3 linked regions of the Stegostoma tigrinum genome follow. Each later gene encodes a partner of the first gene's protein in a complex. Links are inferred from orthologs where the notes say so. Each region holds a gene or a part of one and is shown in the gene's direction. Other genes may lie near its edges. The genes, in order: cdhr2, cdhr5b and anks4b.

Region 1 (7,214 bases):
TGGACTCTTTGGGCTAAATGGCCTGTTCCCACACGGTATGGATTCAATGCAACAATCCACATAGGCAACTGTGCTTTGCGACTGAAACTCTGTCCCCTTTTGCAGCAGTTACTGCTACTTTCCATAAAGTAAAAGTACTAATAAATTTAGAAGATAAACATAAGCAAATTTTTATCTTTAACACTAATTAGATCAGGTTTTCTGGCATTTTGAAGCAGACTTTTTAATATTGGCAGATATACATTACATATTTAGGCCTGAATTTCTGTTGTGGGGCAGAGAGCGCAGAGCCGGCACAATTTACAATTTCACGAACCCAGTCTAGGAGAAATTGACTTGGAAAGTGAGATTATCATTCTGGTAGGTTGGGAACATATTCTATGGGAGTTTGGCTGTGCCATCCCAGAGTGAGAGTGAAGACTGCTAGGTACAGAAGCAGAGAAGATAGAAGGGCTACCCTAGATTCATTCTTAAAATAAATAGGAACTTGAACCCCCACTGCCTCCTCCTCAACTTTTAGAAATATCTAAATTCCCATTGGTTAATGTTTAATCTCCATCCCATCATCTTGTAGTGCTGCCAGCAGTTTTCAATAATCTGATTGTCATGAACATCATGAAGTCTGTCTCCTAGTTTTCTTGGCTGTTTTGCTGTTAGGAGCATAGTTTTATCTCTCAATAAAATGTTATCAACACACAATGTCATATGATATATTAACTTTTTGAAATTTATTTGTTTATATGCTGTTTATACTGAGGATTACCACTACATTGAGGGATAGCAAGATATTCAAGTGCATATCAACACCTTTCATTCTTCCTGAAGTCACTGTTGTGCCTTAACAGAGTCATACAGCATGGAAAGTGACCTTCAGTCCAACCAGCCCGTGTCGAACATAATCCCAAACTAAGCTTGTCCCACCTGCCTGCTCCTGGCCCATATCCTCCAAATCTTTCCTATTCATATAATTCTCCAAATATCTTTTAAACATTGGAATTGTACCCACATCCCCCGCTTCCTCAGAAACTTCATTCCACATGCAAATCCCTCTCTGTGTAAATCTCTCTCCTCTCACTTCACAAATGTGCCCCTTACTCTTGAAATCCCCATCTTAGGGAAAAAGACAACTACCATTAACTCTCTCTGTGCCTCTCATTATTTTATAAATGTCTATTAGGTCATCTCTCAAACTCCTATGCTCCAGTGAAAAAAGTCCCAGCCTATCCAGCCTTTCTTTATAACCAACATGAAGCAACAGCTACTTTATTTGATATTTTCATGTAGAGGGGGCTAGTTTAGCTCAGTTGCCTTGACAGCTTTGAGAAGTAGAGAGATACCAGCTGTGTGGGTTCAGTTCCTATTCTGATTGAGGTTAGCATGTGGCATTGTTTTTTTTAACCTCTCCCTTTGCCTGAGGTCCGGTGACCCTCAGTTTAAACTACCACCATTCATTTCTCTCTAGAAAGCAGCCCTATGGTCTGGTGAGATTACGGCGACTTTACCTTTATTTCCGTGTCGATGAAGCCAGTCAGTTACAAACTCCTTCTTAATCAATTTTCCTGGAAAACTGTAAAATCAATCCATGTAAATCTCAGAAGCTGGCACAAACTGTCAGAGGTAAAGGTTGTGGTCATGGGATCAGTGATCTTATCATACAGTCATCAAATACATAGCACCAGGCTGCCCTCCTTTACTGATTCACCCAATGGAAAAGAGTTAACCAATTGTTAATTCATGAATTTTAAGATTTGGTACACATGACCATGTGCTAAATATGGAACAATCTCGGGTGAAAGTAGGATAAAAGGCAGTGAAATTTTTAGTACACTGGATGAGTACCATCTGAAGTCATGACATTATGAATATAGAAGATGAGAGCTGCTTGCCATTTTACAGAAGAACCATGTTTGTAGAATGATTTGTAACAGCAATCCTCATGTTGTGGGTAAGTAATTAATCAAAAATGACAACACAGCTAGATCCACTGTAGGACTGAGATTATTAGATCACAAGGTTTAAAGGTATTGTATGATTTCTGTTGCCAGGGTTACATTTGGTTTATGCCATCATACTGTTTGTTATCTAGCCTTCCACCATTTTATTGCACAGTAAGTGAATTCTTTAGAGCTTATAACCAGACTCAAAGTTCACATGCTATCAATTACAACAATCATCCTGAATTATTTTCTGGAAAATGTTCAGTGTGTCACTGGTGGATTCAAATAAAAAGTAAACAAATAGGTGAATATATTTGTTTTTATACGTAAAATTAAAATACTATTTATATAAAATACACCAAGGGGAACTCAGTGATTTGCTGAAAATAAAATTGCTATTAGCAGTTAAATCTTCTGGTCTGAACACCTTCAATATTCCATTTGCACCTATAATATTTACATTGTATGGTAATTGACAACAAGTGTTAACTTCCTAGTAACTGATGAATATTCACTCACATAATCTTAAATTGAAAGATTCCTGACTATAGATGTTAAGTTTACCAGTAAAAGTGCATAAATTTTCTTAACTCTGAACTCCCTAAATGCATTAGGAAGACCAACTATTTCAAATTCAGATTTGTCATAAACACCTTATATGGTTCAGCGACATTGATTGCTTTCTCAACATGTTAAAAGTGTTTTACTTTTGTGGCAATTTGGGACAGCCAAAATAAATCATGAATTTCAAAAGGTGGGTGTTTTTCGGTCCTGGAGTGATCCAGGATATAATATGCAGGAATTTCAGCACGGAGTTATTGAGCTGAAGATGGAGTGGCTAACACTGCGAGAGGGAAAGATACCCAGACACCTTTTTCCATGAGGCAGTCACATTCCTGAGGATAGGGTTTCCTGGTTTGATTAGTGATCAGGGACATAAGACCATGACTGGAAGCAAGGGCAGACGTTGGTACACACACTATACTATCACGGAGGCAGTTCTGGGATTTTGACCTAGTGACAATGAAGCAACTTTGATGTATTTCCAAATCAGGACGGTGTGTGACTTGGAGAGGAATTTGCACATGGTGGCATTCCCATACGTCGGCTGCCCTTGATCATCTAGGTGGTAGTGGTCATGGGTTTTGAAGGTGCTATTTAAGGAGCCTTGGTGAATTTCTGCAATTCATCATGTGGATGGTAGACACTGCTGTTACTGAGCATCAGCAATGGAGGGATTGAATGTTTATGGATGTGGTGCCAATCAAATGGGCTGCTTTTTATAGAGTCATAGAAAGTCATAGGGTCATACAGAATAGAAACAGGCACAGTGCCCACCGTGTCTAGGTCAACCAACAAACACCAAACTAACTAATCCCATTTACCTGCACTTGGTCTGTAGCTCACTATGCCCTGGCATATTAAGTACTCATCCAGATGCTTCTTAAATGTTGTGAGAGTGAATGCCTCCACCATCCTCTCGGGCAGCATATTCCATATTTCTGCCACCCTCTGGGTGAATTTTTAATTTCGGATTTCTAAATCACTTACTGTTCACTTTAAACTTATGCCGTCTGCTCTTCGACATATCTGCTTTGGGGAAAAAAAATCTACTTTGCTTAAGCCTCAAATAATTTTGTATACCTCAATCAGAACACTCCTCAGCCTCCTCTGCTCCAAGGAAAACAAACCCAGCCTACCCAGTCTGTCCTCATAACTGAGGCAACAGCCTGGTGAATCTCCTTGGCATCCTTCCCAGTGCAGTCAGGTCCTTCAGATAGTGTGGTGACAAAATCTGCACACAGCCTTCCACCTGTGGCCTAACTAATATTTTTTTAAAATTGGAAGAAGACTTCTTTGCTCCTATATTCCTTGCCTCAGCTAATGAAGGCAAGCAACAAATTCATAGTGGCAGAAACAGCAGAATAATCTTTCAATTACATAAGCATCTGCTTCATTACCTAGAGAATAAGGTCCTTGCCTGTACAAACCTGTTGATATATATAGATATATACAGGAAAAGTGTAAGAAATTAAATAATATAAAATATCAATGTTTTTGCTATACGTATGTTAAGATTTATGTTGATAGGTTTCAAATTTTGTCTCATGGTTTACTAACAAGTAGCCAGTTGCTTGTCAATTAATTGTTTTCTTCTCTCTGACTCATGAAGGAAGTGTTTGTACCATTGCGAACACCTTCTGTCAGTTGTGATTTGTTAATCAGTAACATTTATAACGTAGGAAGGTTTACTGCTTCAACTGTAAAACAAGTAAAAGTCCATCAGTGTCAACCAACGATGAGAGAATAGATTTCACACAAAGAAGGTTCCAGTAAAAATCGTAAGTAGTCACATCTTCTTAGAGCATACACAAATTGAAAACTTGAGTTAATTATCCTGTGATAATTTATTACTGTTCGATGCCTTAGAATTTGACACAAAAGTTTTTGAGGTAATTTGCTATCATTGGATATATTTATTTGAAAACAGTGCAATATTCTTTATTTTGGAATTCAACGTATGCTAGCGAAAATGTATTTGTATGGGGATTGTAAAGTACATCCCAAGTGAAAGATATTTACATTCATTGTCATTTATATATACTACTGGCCATTTCGCCATGACAGGAAATGATGAGTGGATTTCTTTCTACCTTAGTTTTTCACTTTGCAAACCAAGTAATGTAACTACCTCCATTATTAACACTACATATCAATCTGTGCCAAATACAGAGGAGCAGACAAACCATGGTGACACCCGCTAATACTGCGATATTTGATTTTTTAGTCGCGTGTTCATATCCACCGACTTTTATTCCTCCTTCCCGCTCTGTGAGAAAGTGCCTTTTTCATTTGGTGCCGAGGTCTTTGGTGAAATCTGAAATTGCTGTCACAACCTGAGAGCATATTTCACTGTAGCACCAAAGTGTGCTTTCAATTTCCATGCCATTTTTATAAACTGAAACTGAAAATGTACATTGGGTTTTGAAATCCACACAGCCCCCTTCATGAGATTGGGTAAAATGGCCCGTATTCTCTGGAGTTTTGAAGAATGGGAGGTGATCTAATTGAAACTTACAAAATTCTTAAAGGGATAGATGGGATAAATGCAGGTAAGATTTTTCCCCTAGTTGTGGGTCTGGAGCAAGGGTACACTATTGAACAGTAAGTGGATGCTAGTTAGGACTGAAATGAGGAGATTTTCTTTTACTTAGAGAGTTGTGAATGTCTGGAATTCATCCCTCTAGGGGGCTGTGCAAGGTAGATTTTGACAATATTTGAGGTAGAGGTTGATAAATCTTTGATTACTCATGGCGTAAAGGGTTCTGGGAATAGTGTATAAGTGAAGATGTCAAAGTTTTCAATCAGCCATAATCATGTTGAATGGTAGCACAGGCCCAGTGTGCTGGGTGCCCTACACTACTCCTATGTTGCTATGTAGACATTGTAGAAGTCATTTTATATGATCATGACCCCCAATTATTTTATAATTATGTAAATTAACTCCTACTTTTATTTTGCCTTGGAAAATGAGATCAACATGGTATAATAGCACAATTTCATCATGTTTTTGCACTTAGGACAAGAGAAAGTACAGTGGTCAGTGATCACTGTCATTTGGCCTCATAACCATTATTTTAATTCTTCTCTTTGTATACACTCTGGGCATAACTTTCCATCCTGTAACATCGAGCATATTGGATGGCATCGTATCTACCAATGCAATTACCTCATGATTATGTGAATGTAAGCTCATTCTCTGTGTAATGATGCACAAGCCTCATCGCTGTCAGTGCTGTTGCGACCTTTTGGTGTTGAAGGTTCAGGTGCCATCTTTAAATGCCAGTTGGACACCACTTAAAAAAACCGGGAAACAAGGGATTTCCAGTTAGCCTGCAGTGTGTAACCCCCCAAGCCCAGAAATGCCTGCAAGGAAGGTTCTACTGTCTCCCTGGTTTACTGATGCTACCCTGCTGCATCATCATTAGAAGGATCTTCCTGTTCCTGGTGATGGCATCAGGAATCTATCCCATCAGACACATCCTTGCAGCATGTGTCAATGCTGTTGTTCCCCACAGGAGAAACAACTTGTAGTGCAGGAAAAGGGTCAATGACTCCCTCCACAAGGGGAGAGCTGACATCATCTTTTTTCTGATAGTACACATAGAACTATCATTCAGTCAAACTGTGCCACTACACAGGCAATTCACAAATGGTCAGAGCCTGACACTTGTCCGCAGCTAGTGGAGGAAGAAATGCTCAAGGTCTCTGACGTTTGTAGAATATAAAAAAGAACAGAAGCAGTCCCTCCAACCCACAATGTCTGTGCCATTCTAAACTAATCCCATCTGTCTGTACATGGTCTTTATTCCTTAAATATTGCTATCATATCTGCTTCTACTGCCTTCTCTGGCAGAGCATTCCAGGCACTTACAACCCTCTGTGTAAAAAACTTGCCTTGCATGACTCTTTTAAACTGCTCCCCTCACTTTAAACCTATACCCTCTAGTATTTCGCATTTCCACCCTGGGAAAAATTCTCTGACTATCTGCCCTAACCAGGCCTCTCATAATTTTATATACTTCTTTGTGGAGGGCACAAAACATCACCATGATGAGGCACGCACTGTCTGTGGTATGCTGTAAGGTACTACCTGTCTGGTTCAGGCTTGGAAGCCACATATTCAGAAGGACTCAGTCTATTCTACAATAGCTCTGGTTGAAGAGTTGTATCTCCCTTGGCAACAGTCACAGGATTTCTTCAAGATGTTATCAACCAGGTACAGAGGAGATTCTATTTGCCATCCAGAAACTGTCCTTGTATGGTTTGAGGGCCTTTGAAAGATGATGGCACCAATGAGTCACCCTGGTGTGCACGTTAGGGTGGATCCCTGAATATATAACACAATCCTGCAATACCTGGAGTGTTGTGGTCACAAATAATGTGAACACTAAGGAAGTGGAATGCTTTTTTGGTTCACAACAGGGTACTCTGATTGTTCTACGGTTGCAAACAATTGCATGTTCACCCTGTGAAAAACCTGCAACAGTTGGAAAGCCAAATGATGGAGCTGTTTGACTGGTTGCATTGAGGGCGACTGAGATTAAATGGAAGGGATCTTCTTGTGAGGGGAGATTCAGTGACACCCTTGAAGCAATAATGAGTTGAGGACCCATAAAGTCCTTAGAAGCTCCAAGAAATGATATGGTGGAAAAAAAAATTCTGGCAGTTGTTGTTGTTCTGGCTACGGGGTAGGATTGCCACCCTGTCCTTGTG
Region 2 (7,361 bases), on another chromosome or scaffold:
GCACAAAAGCTGACGTTTCGGGCCTAGACCCATCATCAGAGCTCTGATGAAGGGTCTAGGCCTGAAACGTCAGCTTCTGTGCTCCTGAGACGCTGCTTGGCCTGCTGTGTTCATCCAGCTTCACACTTTATCATCTCACGACCCAGTTGGGCTGGAAGTGACCATGATGCATAAACCTGAGCTCTGAGCATCAGAGCTGGAGCAACAGCTGGAATCACTGAGGTGCAGCAATCTACATGGACTGCGCACACACAGATGTTGTCATGCTCCAAATTAGGGATAAGGAACGTAAAAAGGCAGTTCAGGAATGACTGATACCAGCAAACCAAGAGAAACAGGAGGGTACTGCAAGAATCCCCAGTGGTCCTGCTGGCTAGCTGTTTTCTTTCTAGATATTGGAGTGTAACAAGAGTCAAGCTAATGGCACTACAGGTAGCCCAGCTCTGCACGAGTGGAGCAATCAGAGTGAAAGGGCAGTATTGAAAGGGAATTCTATGGTAAGGGAAGCAGGCAGGCATTTTTGCAGCCATTGATGTGATTCCAGGATGGTCTGTTGTGTCGTTGGTGCTATGATCAGTGATATCACAGACATTCTTCTGGGGGAGGTTGAACAGGCAGTGGTGGTATCTCCCACACTGAAACTAACAACAGAGGGAGAAAAGGGAATGCGGGCCTGCAATCATACTTTAAGGAGCCCTGTGAGAACAATCCTCTAAAGTAGCAAACTTCAGATTAGTCTCAGTCCCAAAAGCAAGTGAGTACAGAAATATGAGGATTAGGCAGGTGAATGCTGGGCTTTGAATCCCTGGGACATTGGCACTGGGCCCTGTGAAAGATGACCTCTATACAAGTCAGAAAGCTTGCACCTGAACAGAACCAGGGCTGAGTACCTTGACGCATGTTTTACTAGTGCTGTTGGGGAGATGTTAAAATAACTCAGCAAGGGTGTGGGAACCAGGACAGGCTAATAGAAAGTAATTCAAAGGAGCACAAAATTCTGGGAGAGGCAGATAGCGCAAAAATAGAGAAGAGTAAATTATAATCAGTGGAGTCAGATTGAGAGAGAAAGTAATGAAGTCTGAATACACTGCATGTATGTGAACATACAAAGCACAGTTAATAACACTGGGGAGCTACAAGGTGCAGACTGTCATGTGAAATTGTGATGCTGTGTGATAACAGAGAAGGGCAGGTCTGGGTGTTAAATATTCCTGCTTGTAAGACAGTCTGAAGAGATAGAAGAGGAAAAAAAAACAGAGGAGAGGATTAATGATGTGATAATGGGAACTGCAGATGCTGGAGAATCCAAGATAACAAAGTGTGAAGCTGGATGAACGCAGCAGGCCAAGTAGCATCTCAGGAGCACAAAAGCTGATGTTTTGGGCCTAGACTCTTCATCAGAGAGGGGGATGGGGAGAGGGTTCTGGAATAAATAGGGAGAGAGGGGGAGGTGCACCGAAGATGGAGAGAAAAGAAGATAGGTGGAGAGGAGAGTATAGGTGAGGAGGTAGGGAGGGGATAGGTCAGTCCAGGGAAGACGGGCAGGTCAAGGAGGTGGGATGAGGTTAGTAGGTAGGAAATGGAGGTGCGGCTTGAGGTGGGAGGAAGGGATGGGTGAGAGGAAGAACAGGTTAGGGAAGCGGAGAGAGGCTGGGCTGGCTTTGGGATGCAGTGGGGGGAGGGAACGAGCTGGGCTGGTTTTGTGATGCAGTTGGGGGGGTGGCGGTGGGGAAGAACTGGGCTGGTATTCCTCCGCCTCCGCCGCATCTGCTCCCAGTATGAGGCATTCCACTCCCGCACGTCCCAGATGTCTACGTTCTTCAAGGACCGCAACCTTCCCCCCGGAGTGGTCGAGAACGCCCTTGACCGCGTCTCCCGCATTTCCCGCAACACATCCCTCACACCCCGCCCCCACCACAACCACCCCCAGAGGATCCCCCTCGTTCTCACATACCACCCCACCAACCTCCAGATACAACGCATCATCCTCCGACACTTCCGCCATCTACAATCCGACCCCAGCACCCAAGGCATTTTTCCATCCCCACCCTTGTCTGCCTTCCAGAGAGACCACTCTCTCTCCGGGACTCCCTTGTCTTCTCCACACTCTCCTCCAACCCCACCACACCCAGCACCTTCCCCTGCAACCGCAGGAAGTGCTACACTTGCCCCCACACCTCCTCCCTCACCCCCATCCCAGGCCCCAAGATGACTTTCCATATTAAGCAGATGTTCACCTGCACATTTGCCAATGTGGTATTTGTATCCATTGTACTCGGTGTGGCTTCCTCTACATTGGGGAAACCAAGCGGAGGCTTGGGGACCGCTTTGCAGAACACTTCCGCTCGGTTCGCAACAAACAACTGCACCTCCCAGTCGCGAACCATTTTAACTCCCCCTCCCATTCCTCAGACAACATGTCCATCATGGGCCTCCTGCAGTGCCACAATGATGCCACCCAAAGGTTGCAGGAACAGCAACTCATATTCCGCTTGGGAACCCTGCAGCCCAATGGTATCAATGTGGACTTCACAAGCTTCAAAATCTCCCCTTCCCCCACTGCATCCCAAAACCAGCCCAGGTCTTCCCCTCCCGCCTCTGCATCCCAAAACAAGCCCAGCCTGTCTTCGCTTCCCTAACCTGTTCTTCCTCTCACCCATCCCTTCCTCCCACCCCAAGCCGTACCTCCATCTCCTACCTACTAACCTCATCCCACCTCCTTGACCTGTCCGTCTTTCCTGGACTGACCTATCCCCTCCCTACCTGCTCACCTATACTCTCCTCTCTACCTATCTTCTTTCCTCTCCATCTTCGGTCCGCCTCCCCCTCTCTCCCTATTTATTCCAGTTCCCTCTCCCCATCCCCCTCTCTGATGAAGGGTCTAGGCCCAAAATGTCAGCTTTTGTGCTCCTGAGATGCTGCTTGGCCTGCTGTGTTCACCCAGCTCCACACTTTGTTATCAGAGGAGAGGATTCAGAGGGTTTTAGGGTAAGGACATCATTGCAGTTCTGGAGAAAGAGATTTCAGAGAGGTCAAGGGTGGAATTAATTTAGTTAGAACTAAGGAATATAACTACATTGTTCAATGCAATCTATAGATCACCACCGCATGGGAATAGTGTACAGGAACAAATTTACAAAGAAATTCTAGCGAGGGGTCAACATCATAGCGTCATTAACTATCTGGGTATAGACTGGGATAGAAACCAAGTAAGGGGCAGCAAGAGGCAAGTGTTCCTAGATTGTGTTTAGGGGAATTAATGTGAAATCCTTCAATCACAGAGGGATACTCATGCCCCTTTAGGATGAGGCTCCCTCTCTGAGACCTGGTCATAGCTCTCCAGCCTGAGGAGTGCCACTGGGAGTTGTGAAACTGCTGGGCTAGCATTCAGTTCCCAATGATGATCACTTCTTGGAACTGGGACCAGGCTGCTGTGCCCTGGATGAGAAATGGTGAAGGCCAGGATCAGGATGTTAAGTGTAGAGTAAGCAGAGCCAGATATTACCGTGGTGATGGTGGACAAAGTCCCAAGAGTAGGCATGACTCTGGCTTACAAGTGATCTATCTTATTCACAACATCCACCAAGGGACATGAGCAAGCCTCTACCACCCTCTCCTCTGAGGCTGGTGAACTATTAGAGACAGTTGGGGGAAGTGCTTAAGAGGCAATTAATAGTATGAGTGGTGGTTGGGAAAGCTGGGGTGTGGGTGCTGGTGTCCTCCTTTAAAGTCCCACCCTTGGAAGCAATGTAATAGGCCCTTGGAGAGCAGTTGGAGACTTTGATCAGAAGCGTCTATCAGGAAATGTATTTTTCAGATCTGTCAACAGTTTGGAGAGGGTAGCATGGTGGCTCAGTGGTTAGCACTGCTGCCTCACACCACCAGAGACACAGGTTCAAGCCCATCCCCGGGTGACTGCCTACATGGGGTTTGCACGTTCTCCCTGTGTCTGTGTGGGTTTCCTCTGAGTGCTTTGATTTCTCTCCACAGTTGAAAGAAGTGCAGGCTAGGTGGATTGGCCATGCTAAGTTGCCTGTAGCATTCAGGGATGTGTAGATTAGGTGGGTTATAGGGCCTGGGTCTGAGGATCACTGTGGACCTGTAGGGCCGAAGGGCCTGGTTCCACACTGTAAGGAATCTATGAAACATTCACACCCACTTGAAGTGAGACTGTATCTCATTAGCCTTTGACGAGCAGCCAGTGGCGTGTCAGTGCAGGATGTGATCAGCTTTTATGACTTTCCATAGTGGGAATTAAACAGTGACTGGGTATGCAGAATAGCAATAAAGTAATAACGCCATGAAGCAAAGGTTGGAACAACAAGCACCAATATTTCCGTCAGTCTATTTTGATTCGGATTCCTTTCAAGCTGCTAACAGAAAGAAGCGGTTGAGGCTGGGACAGTTTCGGTTCAGTGACTTGGGCCTAGTGAGGCTTTATTTATGATTTTTGGCAAAAATCTTCAGCGTCCAAGAGAGAATGGACACAAGCCGCACGATTTGTGGCCCCCACATCTTGCTGTTCATCCTGTTCGCAGTTCTTCAGATAAATGCAACTGCTGCTGTTAATAACCACTGCTCTCCCAACAAGGGTAAGCCACACCTTTCATATTATGCATGAACAATTGTTTTGTTTGTCCCTTTTTAACTGTAAGTTTAACGTCCTTTCTATCTTTCTCTAGCTTGTTGTGTTTCAGAAAATCCCATACACGTGAAAGAGAATAACAATGCAAACCTGGTCATCAGTAATATAACAATAAGGGAACCTCCGGTTACAATATTAGATCCGTCAAAGACACCTGATGTTGCTGTCAATGGGACCACACTGGTGCTCACAAAAACAATCGATTTTGAGGTAATCTCAATGAACCAGTCGCAGGGAAACAGGAGCTCAAGATACACACAGGGAAATAGTTGTTCCAGACAGTTGGAGGGAGGCCAGAGCTCCAGTCACAGGGAGACAGGAGCTCCAGTCAGTCACAGGGAGACAGGAGCTCCAGTCAGTCACAGGGAGACAGGAGCTCCAGACAGTCACAGGGGGACAGGAGATCCAGACAGTGGCAGGGAGACAGGAGATCCATACAGACACAGGGGGACAGGAGATCCTGACAGTGACAGGGAGACAGGAGATCCATATAGACACAGGGGGACAGGAGATCCTGACAGTGACAGGGAGACAGGAGATCCATACAGACACAGGGGGACAGGAGATCCTGACAGTGACAGGGAGACAGGAGATCCAGACAGTCACAGGGGGACAGGAGATCCTGACAGTCACTGGGGACAGGAGCTCCACACAAACACAGGGAGAGACAGGAGATTCACACAGCCACAGGAAGACAGGAGCTCCACACAAACACAGGGAGAGACAGGAGATTCACACAGCCACAGGAAGACAGGAGATCCACACAGACACAGGGGTATAGTTGCATTGGCCTTGAAAGGATTTACCTGAAAGATACTCAGCTCCCAGAGTGAAATTACAAGGGACCATTACACACGTTCGGCCTCAATTCCCTGAAATTTAGAAATATTAGGGATGATTTAATCTAAATTTTGAAGATATCATAAGAAACAAAGAGGATAGCTAGACACAACAGTAGTTGTCTGGCGGGAAGAGCAGGATGCAACGATACAGTCTATAAATTAAAAGCTGAGTTTTCAGAAGTAAGCTTAAGACAAACCTTAACACTGCAAGGGTAGTAGAAGCTTGGAACTCTCTCCTGTAAGAAGCATTTGATGCTGGATCAACTATTAATTTTACATTTGAAATTGAACACTTTTTTGTCAGCTAATGATATTAAGTGATAAGTAGGCATGGAAATGGAGTTACATCATAAATCAACCATTGAATGGTAGAACAGTTTTGATGGACTAAATTGTCCCCTCTTGTACCCATGTTTCAGACCCGTTATTGTGAGCTCAGCTGGACAGCCTCTCGATGTTCCAACTTCACAAACTTTCACGTATTTCGATAAGAACACTATTCATTCTTCTAATTGACATAGAATATAGGCCCCTTCTACTAAATTTCTCCTCATATGACAGCCATCTCATTTCAGGATCAATCTCATGAAATTTTGTTGCTCTTCCTTTTTGGCAGGTTTATCCTTCCTTAGGTAAGGGGAACCAAAACTATACTTAGTACTCCAGGCTGAGTGTTACCAAGGCTCCGTGTAATATGTTGCGTGAGCAACGATCTCTGCACACAACATTGTTGCGTGAGACTGTTTGCACGATTGCTCATCATGCAGTAGGCCTTCAGCCACCATCCTCTTTTAAGGTGGGGTCTTAGAGGGCCAGCTGATCTCATACGTTAGAGGAAAACCATTGGCTGGTCTAACAAGAAGAGGCTTTTGTTTCTAACAAGTTCCCATTTATATACATTTAAACAACTATGTACAAATTACATTGATTACTGAGACGAGCAGCCATTTTCCATTATACCTCAGAGATCCTAAGCTGTACTCCCATCAGGTCCACATGACATTATCACAGAGTGGAGTCCTTAAGGCACGTCTCAGCATTAACCCTTTCAGATCCATATCCAACATAATAGCAGCAAGATTTTCTTACACCTTTACAGTAACCTCTTGTGATAAAGGCTAAAGTACGCTTTACTTCCCTCTCAGTTTTTGTTTTAAATTAGAACACGGTAAGTTCTCAACCAATGGCAATTGCTCACGGCACCATAGGGACAGGCTGTAACGTGTGAAAGAGTACCTCAAACCACTCCTTCCCAGTCAGCAATATCTCCTGTTGCTTTCCTGTCCTCCCATTTCATGCCCCATGTAAGGCATTGAATAAGTGACATAGTACTTGTGATTCAACTCACCAAGTGGTGAAAGAAACATTCGTAAGGATTTACACAAAAGCAGTGAGCTCATTTGAAAGTTCTGGGACAGGGTACTGGGGCTTATGTTTATTGGCGAAGTGCAGGAAGCAGAATGACAAATAGCTAGTCTGCTTGCTTCTTGCTCACTCGTCTCGGTGAGCCAAGTCAATGCTGTAAAAAAATACACACAAACTTTGGCCCATCCAACATTCTGAAAAATGCACTAGATGATGAAAAAAATTGCAAGCAAGTGATTTCTTTTGAAAGAAGCTCAATAGTTTTTGTTTATCTCTAAATGTTGGATAATCTTCTGATTTCCTTGTCTATCTGCTTTCTGTATTCTCTGAGACTGGCACCTGGTGCCAGAATTGTCAATCTGATGTCAGTGTGCCATATTTTATGTTTGTGGTGAGGGTAGAGTTGGGGGACACACACACACTAATTGTGGGTGTAAAACTCAGGCCTATATTTGTCATCATGTTGTGTCTGTTTACTGTGTAAAACCATTGACCTCAAGGGTGATCCT
Region 3 (7,361 bases), on another chromosome or scaffold:
GGAGCTGACAGAGGGATCACTATTTCTGCAGCCTCGTCAGAGCGCGAGAAAGGCTCCGAAATTCTCCCTCGGGAAATTGCCGAGGGAAATGTTTGTTAGATTAATGACGGGGGAGAGATGACATCGACACTCAATCCCTGGGGTTATTTCCAAAGATTTGAGATACATTAAACACTGTGCCACCGAAACTGAAATGAATCAGCAGGAGAGCACGCTTCAGCCGATCCAGGAGCCTACCTCTTTTATCCTTTGAAAAATCTTTCTCAAACTTTCTCTTACAGATGGGTCTTTCAAGTGTTTTTTTTAACCTCGGGGCAGATTTAACTTAAATCTGCACTGAACGGGCGGAAAAGTTCAGCTAGTCACAGAGTAACACAATGACTGGGTCTGCACATTGACAAAACCCAACCAGGAAATCTGAGGCTGGAATACGGATGCAGCCCAACCCTGGACGCTCACATGTAAAATTCAGAGCATTCAACAGAACGCTGCGAGGAACGCTGGGCTGAAGCTTTAACCAGGCGGGTTACCCCGAGGCTCCAGTTTTCACCTAACACACTCCCGGTGAGGTTTGGAGACCGGGGTGTGTGTTGTTCTAATTGAAGTGCCTGGTGCACGGTGTATCCACCGTGTTTAAACTCCAGGTCATCCCACAACTTACCACCATCCCAGCCACTGCGTGCACAAGTGTCTCGTAGGAAGCAAGAGAAGAGCTGGCAGAGCCCTTCATTATTAATCCAAGAAATGAAAGCAGGATTGTTCGCCAATCTATAGAGAAATACAGAGTCTTCCTTTAACTCCGGCTCCACCCAGCACTCGGAGAAATACTTTGAGCAAACCCACGCCCTCTGTTGGTGAAAATGTTCAAGGACGTCCGGCTGGAGAAGGAATTGGGCGGCAGGCAAACTCATTTAAAATCTAGCCATTTGCGGGATTAAAATCGGACCCAGCGTATTCCGGCGTTAAAAAAAGAACAAACATTGAACTTCCAGGTGTGGCATAGAGACACTGATTCAGTCAGAGGCACTAACAGTGAAAGAAAACGTATGTTCCTCACGCATCCAAAACTGAGGTCTTTCTATAATCATGTACCGAGAGGCTGTTAACATAGAGAACCCCTTTGTAGCTGGTATTGAAATGTATATCGTTTCTGGTCAAATTCAGTAAATGTGCCAATTTTGCACATACGCACACGTGTACAAAATGTTTAGCTCAGAAATGTAATTTTTATTCAATCTAATGTAATGTCCGACTCGATTTTTTATACAGATAAATTATGAATCGAGTATATTTTGTAAGACAAAGATGCGAGTAACCAAGCAAATATAACAGCAACAGCATTCAAAAAAACGAACATGAAGATCCTCTGACATTTTCCAGTAATGTGGAAAATTGCCCATATATGTCCTGTCCATCAAAAGCAAGATAAATCCCCAACATGCCCAATTACTACTCTCGATCATTCGTAAAAGTGATAGGAGATTCATCAACAATGCTATAAGGCGACTGATGCTCAGCTTGTGTTCCGCCACCTGACTTCATTAGGGCCTCAGTTCAAATGTGGGTAAGAGACCTGAATTCCAGAGGTGTGGAGGGAGTGACTAACCTTGACATTAATACCATATTTGACCTAGTGTGGCATTAAGGAGTCCTAGCAAAACTAAAATGATTGGAAATCAGGGACAGAACACTCCATTGGCTGGCGTCATCTCTGGCACAAAGAAAGGTGATTGGATTGTGGTTGTTGGAGTCATCTTAGCGGCAGGACATTTCAGCAGCAGTTCCTCAGGGTAGTGTCCTAGGCCCAACCATCTTTAGCTGCTTCGTCAATGACTTTTCCTCTATCATAACGTCAGAAGTGGGGATGTTGTTGATGATTGCACGATATTCAGCAATATTCAGGAGTCCTCAGATACTGAAGCAGTCCACGTTCAAATGCAGCAAGATTTGGACAATATACAGGTTTGGGCTGACAAGTAGTAAATAACATCTGTGCCCCACAAATGCCAAGCCAAGATCATCTCCAACAAGACAGAATCTGATCATTGCCCTTTGACATTCACTGGCATAAACCTCATTGAATCCTCCACTGTTAACATTCTGGCGGGTTATCTTTGATCAGAAACTGAACTGGACTAGCCACATAAATACAATGGCTACAAGAGCAGGTCAGAAGCTAGGAATACTGCAGCGAGTAACTTACCCCCTGATTCCCCAATGTCTCTCTATCATCAACAAGGCTCCAGTCAGGAGTGTGATGGAATACTCCCCACTTGCCTGGATGGGTGCAGCCCCAACAGCACTCAAGAAGCTCAACACCATCCAGAGCAAAGCAGCCTGCTTGATTGGTACTACACCCACAAGCATTCAGTTGTTCCACTACCAACATTCAGAAGTAGCAGTGCACACCATCGACATGATGCACTGCAGAAATTCAAGAAGGGTCCATCGACGGTATCTTCCAACCTGTGATTGACACCATCTAGAAATACAAGGACAACAAATACATGGAAAAACTACAACCTGCCAGTTCTCCTCCAAGCCAGTCCCAACGTTGACCTGGAAATATATCAGCATTCTTTCACTGTTGCCAGGTCCAAATCCTGTGGGCCTCCCTCCCCAATAGAATTGTGGGTCTACTTCCAGCGCATGGACTGCAGTATTTCCAGAAGGCAACTCACCATCACCCTTTCACCATCTTCCCAATTAGAGAGAGGCAATAAATGCCCACCCAGTGACAACCACATCCAATTAAAAAATGGTGTCCATTGTTCATTTTTCACTTACCATTCAGAAATGGAATCTGCTCCATCCAGGTTTACCAGTCTTCAAATGTGGCTGGTGAATTGGGCAGCAGGGAAGGTCAGTTCTTGTGTTTAAAAGGTTGCATTTTGGACATTTTTAGAAGTTTGCAGCCTCACAATCTCACCTTTATTTCTTTTTTAAAAGATGCAAACGCTGCAGCTCTGAAACAAGAACAAAAACAACAGAGCCAAAAAAAGTTAGGAGCAAGGGAGGACCATTGAGCCCCGAAACCTGTTCCGTTATTCAAAGCAAGCAGAAAACTTTGCAAGCAGATGTCAAATTAATGAGTATCTGTAAGAGAAAATAGAGGGTAATGTTCGATTAAAGAGTTATCAAATCATTTATCTATTTTGTTACTTTGCGCGATACCAACCCTCTCACACAGGGGCTAGGTTGTTCTAAATGATGTGTACAGAGGTACTTTTAATCACCACAGCCACAGCCAGCAATGGCAGAAGTCTGCATGAATCACCCTCTCATCTTCACACCGACTGGTAATTTTAGGAGCGTGAACCAGTTGTTACTGTATATCAGACCGATCCAACTATATCGCAGCCAATTCGTTTTGAATGTAGTCAGTGTTGTAATGTTGGTGTTTACAACAATATTCACCGAGATACTGTACGTGGAAGCTTGGCTGCTGTTTCCTCACTAGTGTACACTTCAAAAAGTGCTTCATTGGTTACAGAAAAATAGTTTGACGTGAAAGGACGTGAAAGTTGCAATATAAATAAATGTAATTCTCCATGTTTCGGTTGTAAGCTGCACTCATTCTCTCTGACATATTAAGGACCCCGATTTACTGCGTTATTTCTGAGTGTGTTTGGCATAAACAATCTCCGGACGAAATGAATGAATCTGTCGTTAATGGTTCACTGACCACTACCACACCCCCTCCCCCAAAATCCCGTGTATCTCTGGCTGCAAGCGGTTGCTTCTCAAAACGTCTTACTCTCCCATTGATTATCATTATGATTCACACTTCGCTTCTCAACCGTAATAATTTATTACAACTCGAGGACATCGAGTGAGAAGAGAATTTGACATCAACCTATAATTCAAAGGTCGGTTGGTGTTATACAGTTAGAACATTTTAAGGTCGATCCATGTTTCCTAAACAAATAGATAAAACTAAAATGACAAAAAAAACCGCTGAGGATTTAGTTGCAAATATCAGAGACACAATCGATGCGAAGCAGCGGGAACCTTGCATTGCGAAAATGCAAAAACAGTTGAAGTATTTATTGCGAAAATGCAAAAACAGTTGAAGTATTTAACGGATAAACAATGGAAGGGATAACTAACATGCAAACACAGACATTCGTTTGGTTTTCAGTTTAGGCAGATAAATGGTGCCCTTTTGCAGACTGCAATTTACATTAAACAATGTTTAAATCACATAAATGTGCTCAAGAAACAGGAGGAAGTAACGGGGGAAACAACACCTGATAATCTCGTCAGCTGGCCTGCCTTAAATCTGCACTCTCTGGAGAGTGGACCTTGTTCCCACCCTGGGCGGTGCCACTCCATCTCCCGGTCCTCGCTCACTGGCTGCTCCCTCCAGCTGCGAACGCTGTGAGTGTGTGAAGGCCAGCCTCAGGATTTGAGCCATGACTGAGAGGTACCACAAAGCGGCCAGGGATGGCTACCTCGGTCCCCTGAAGGAGGCCACAAAGAGGGATCTGAACAGTCCCGATGAGGACGGAATGACCCCGACGCTTTGGGCGGCATATCACGGCCATTTGGAGGCTCTGCAGCTCATCTGCAGCAGAGGGTGAGTGTCACAACCTGACTCTTTTATGTTACCCTTCATGGTTCTTTTTCCAAATAAAATGATCATCTGTTTCAGAGGGGAAGAGGATTGTAGATTAAGATACACTGCAATCGCTTTAAATCATCCAGGCTGAACTGATCTGAGAGTGCTGCACTGTTCGAGATGCTTTCTTTCATTATGAGTCCTTAAACTAAGGCCTAAGCAGGGCAATGTAAAAGGTCCCACGGTTCTATTTTGAAGGACAGGAGGAGTATCCCTGCAGCTCAGTCCAACATTCGTCTTTAAACGTCACGAAGACTATAGTCCAAACATTATATTATTACTGTCGGTGGAAGCTCGTTTAACACAAATTGGCTATCAAATCTCCTACTGTAAAAGTCTCTGCACAAAAAAGTCGTTCTTTATTTGGAAAGTTTTTGGAACATTTTGACTTTGTGAAAGGCTGTATATAATTGCAAGTCATTCAATGTTTATTTGAAGCAGTTTAATCATTATTTTTAAATTTATATTTCCTTTAATTGAGAATTTATTTTGTAAAAGTGCTTTGAGGTAATAGACATTCAGACAATGTTGCAGGTTCTCAGTTGACAAACTTTCCTTGAACTATTTGTTATATGGGGGAAAGATCCCATTACAGAAAGAATCCAAATTAATATAAAATAAATATTTTTGTAATTAAACAGCAGAGGAATCCACAGAAATACATTGTGATGTAATGTGTCAGGGGTGTGCCTCTCATCAACGTGAATTGATGTCACAAATCATGATTGTAAAGTCACGGATCAGGCATGTCTACCTGCAGCATTGCTCAAAGTCACGACAGATATAGATTATTTGCCGGTCACTGTCAAACTTTGTCAAGGGTTCAATGTGCCAAGCACTCCAATCACATGGGAGAGAGGGGAAAAAGCACAAAGTATGCATTTTTATACCATTGTCCACCAGAACCACATGTACCCCAAAGTGCTGTACATTTAATTGAGTACTTTATGAAGTGTAATCACTTTTGTGATGTTTGTATCACAACCTGCCAACTTATACACAGCAAACTCCACAAAGAGCAATGTAATGATGACCAGACAATCTGATTCAGTGATTGATCAAGGGATAAATATTGTCCACAACATGGGGATGAGCTTGCCTACTCTTCTTTGAATAATTTATTGGGATCATTTATGTCCACTTAAGAACACAGATAGGGCCACATTTACTATCTCATCCGCAGGATTAGCACCTCCTAACAGTCTAGAACTCCTTCAGTACTATAATGAAGGGCCCATTTGGATTAAGTGCTCGTGTTTTTGGAGTGGAATTGGAACCCATATCCTTCTGACTCAGAGGGCAGAGTGCCAAAGTTGTAAGCAGTGGGCATAGTCTGCTGCACTAGTTATTGGAAGTGCTGAGTGTGTCTGTTAGCCTAGTTATTACTTGTCCTGCTCAGTTGGACACATACCCTAGACTTAGGTTCTAGTCTCCATTAAATGAGCTGGTCTTCACTAAGCTACTCTCGGCTACTGCAGGCATAAGCATCCCATTCAAATTGTAGGTTAGATCAGACTTGCCCATGATGTCTTTTAAGGTCAACTCAGCACTCACTGTCTGAGGCAAAGTATCAAGAATGACAACTTGGGTAAAGAATCAGGAGGTTAATAACCCAGATCAACATGTACTACCAGTGCTAGGAAAAATGTGTAGTTTGAGAATTTGAAGCAAAAGACTCACGACATTATGTAAAACCCTGTATCAAATCAACTCTTTGTGCTTGTACTTCAGTGGCGATCCTGATATCTGTGATATCTGGGGCAATACACCTCTGCACCACGCTTCAACCAATGGCCACCTTCACATTGTCACTTTCTTGGTTAACTTTGGTGCAAATATTTGGGCTTTGGACAATGATTTCCATTCTGCCATGGATGCTGCTGCCAGTAAGGATCGAATGGAATGTGTCCGCTTCCTGGACACAGCTGCCACCAAGCACATCACCATGAATCCGAAACAGGTGGCCAGGCTAAAAGAAAAGGCAGTAAAGGACAGTGAGAAACAAATCAAACTGTGTGAAAAACGCAAGAAAAAGCACCAAAATCGGATGAACAAGAAGTATAGCCGGGAGATGGAAGCCCAAAGTGAAGGTGCTGCTTCTTCAGTACAGCAAGGAACTATATCCAGTGTCAGCAACCTCTCTACAGTAAGTGAACCACAACACAAAGGTACCATTTCTTCCATTATCAAAGGATCTCTGCAGAAGAGACTTAAGAAGAAGGATAACAGCAAAAGCTTCACTCAGCAGCAACTAGAAAAGGATGTCATTTTTGTAAAGCAAGAACGAGACATTGGGATTCGGGCCAATGTACTGGATGTGTTTAATGAAGGAGATGAAGAGAATGCAGCTTCTTCTGATTTGAAATCCTCTGACTATGATAACAACTTCGGTCATGAGTCTCTCTTCAATCGACCAGGATTGGGAAATATGCTCTTCAGGCGGAATTTTGTTCTGGGTTTAAACGTGGAAGAGGAAATGTTCAGCAGTAATGAAGTAGAAGACATTGGTTCCAAATTGCGCAGCATAGTGTTGAAGCCCAAGGAAATGTCTCCAGATCTTGAAGCTTTCAGTGAAGAAGAGGAAGATGATTTGCCCTGGAACGAAGATGATATCGGTCTGGATGATGATGAGCCTGAGACGACACCACTTGAAACCTTCTTGGCCTGTCAGAATATGACAGAGTTCATCCCTTTCCTGGCAAGAGAGCAGATTGACCTGGACTCCCTCATGCTGTGCACT

What was found.
Region 2: cdhr2 (region 1) and cdhr5b share a complex: the UniProt entries of both Homo sapiens proteins name them as parts of the IMAC/intermicrovillar adhesion complex. The link is inferred for Stegostoma tigrinum from reciprocal best matches to the Homo sapiens genes CDHR2 and CDHR5.
Region 3: cdhr2 (region 1) and anks4b share a complex: the UniProt entries of both Homo sapiens proteins name them as parts of the IMAC/intermicrovillar adhesion complex. The link is inferred for Stegostoma tigrinum from reciprocal best matches to the Homo sapiens genes CDHR2 and ANKS4B.

Annotation. Positions count from the first base shown.
Region 1 is NC_081366.1:45,702,576-45,709,789, reverse strand, and holds the start of cdhr2 (cadherin-related family member 2), read left to right. Parts: upstream 1-4,210; 5' UTR 4,211-4,279; intron 4,280-7,214. UniProt on the Homo sapiens protein: Intermicrovillar adhesion molecule that forms, via its extracellular domain, calcium-dependent heterophilic complexes with CDHR5 on adjacent microvilli. Thereby, controls the packing of microvilli at the apical membrane of epithelial cells.
Region 2 is NC_081370.1:35,282,269-35,289,629, forward strand, and holds the start of cdhr5b (cadherin-related family member 5), read left to right. Parts: upstream 1-4,270; 5' UTR 4,271-4,480; coding exon 4,481-4,592; intron 4,593-4,682; coding exon 4,683-4,855; intron 4,856-7,361. UniProt on the Homo sapiens protein: Intermicrovillar adhesion molecule that forms, via its extracellular domain, calcium-dependent heterophilic complexes with CDHR2 on adjacent microvilli. Thereby, controls the packing of microvilli at the apical membrane of epithelial cells.
Region 3 is NC_081376.1:33,800,229-33,807,589, forward strand, and holds the start of anks4b (ankyrin repeat and SAM domain-containing protein 4B), read left to right. Parts: upstream 1-4,288; 5' UTR 4,289-4,415; coding exon 4,416-4,579; exon of another isoform or gene 4,580-6,352; coding exon 6,353-7,361. Other genes in the region: slc25a17l (peroxisomal membrane protein PMP34), read right to left, coding at 662-730. UniProt on the Homo sapiens protein: As part of the intermicrovillar adhesion complex/IMAC plays a role in epithelial brush border differentiation, controlling microvilli organization and length. Plays a role in assembly of the complex.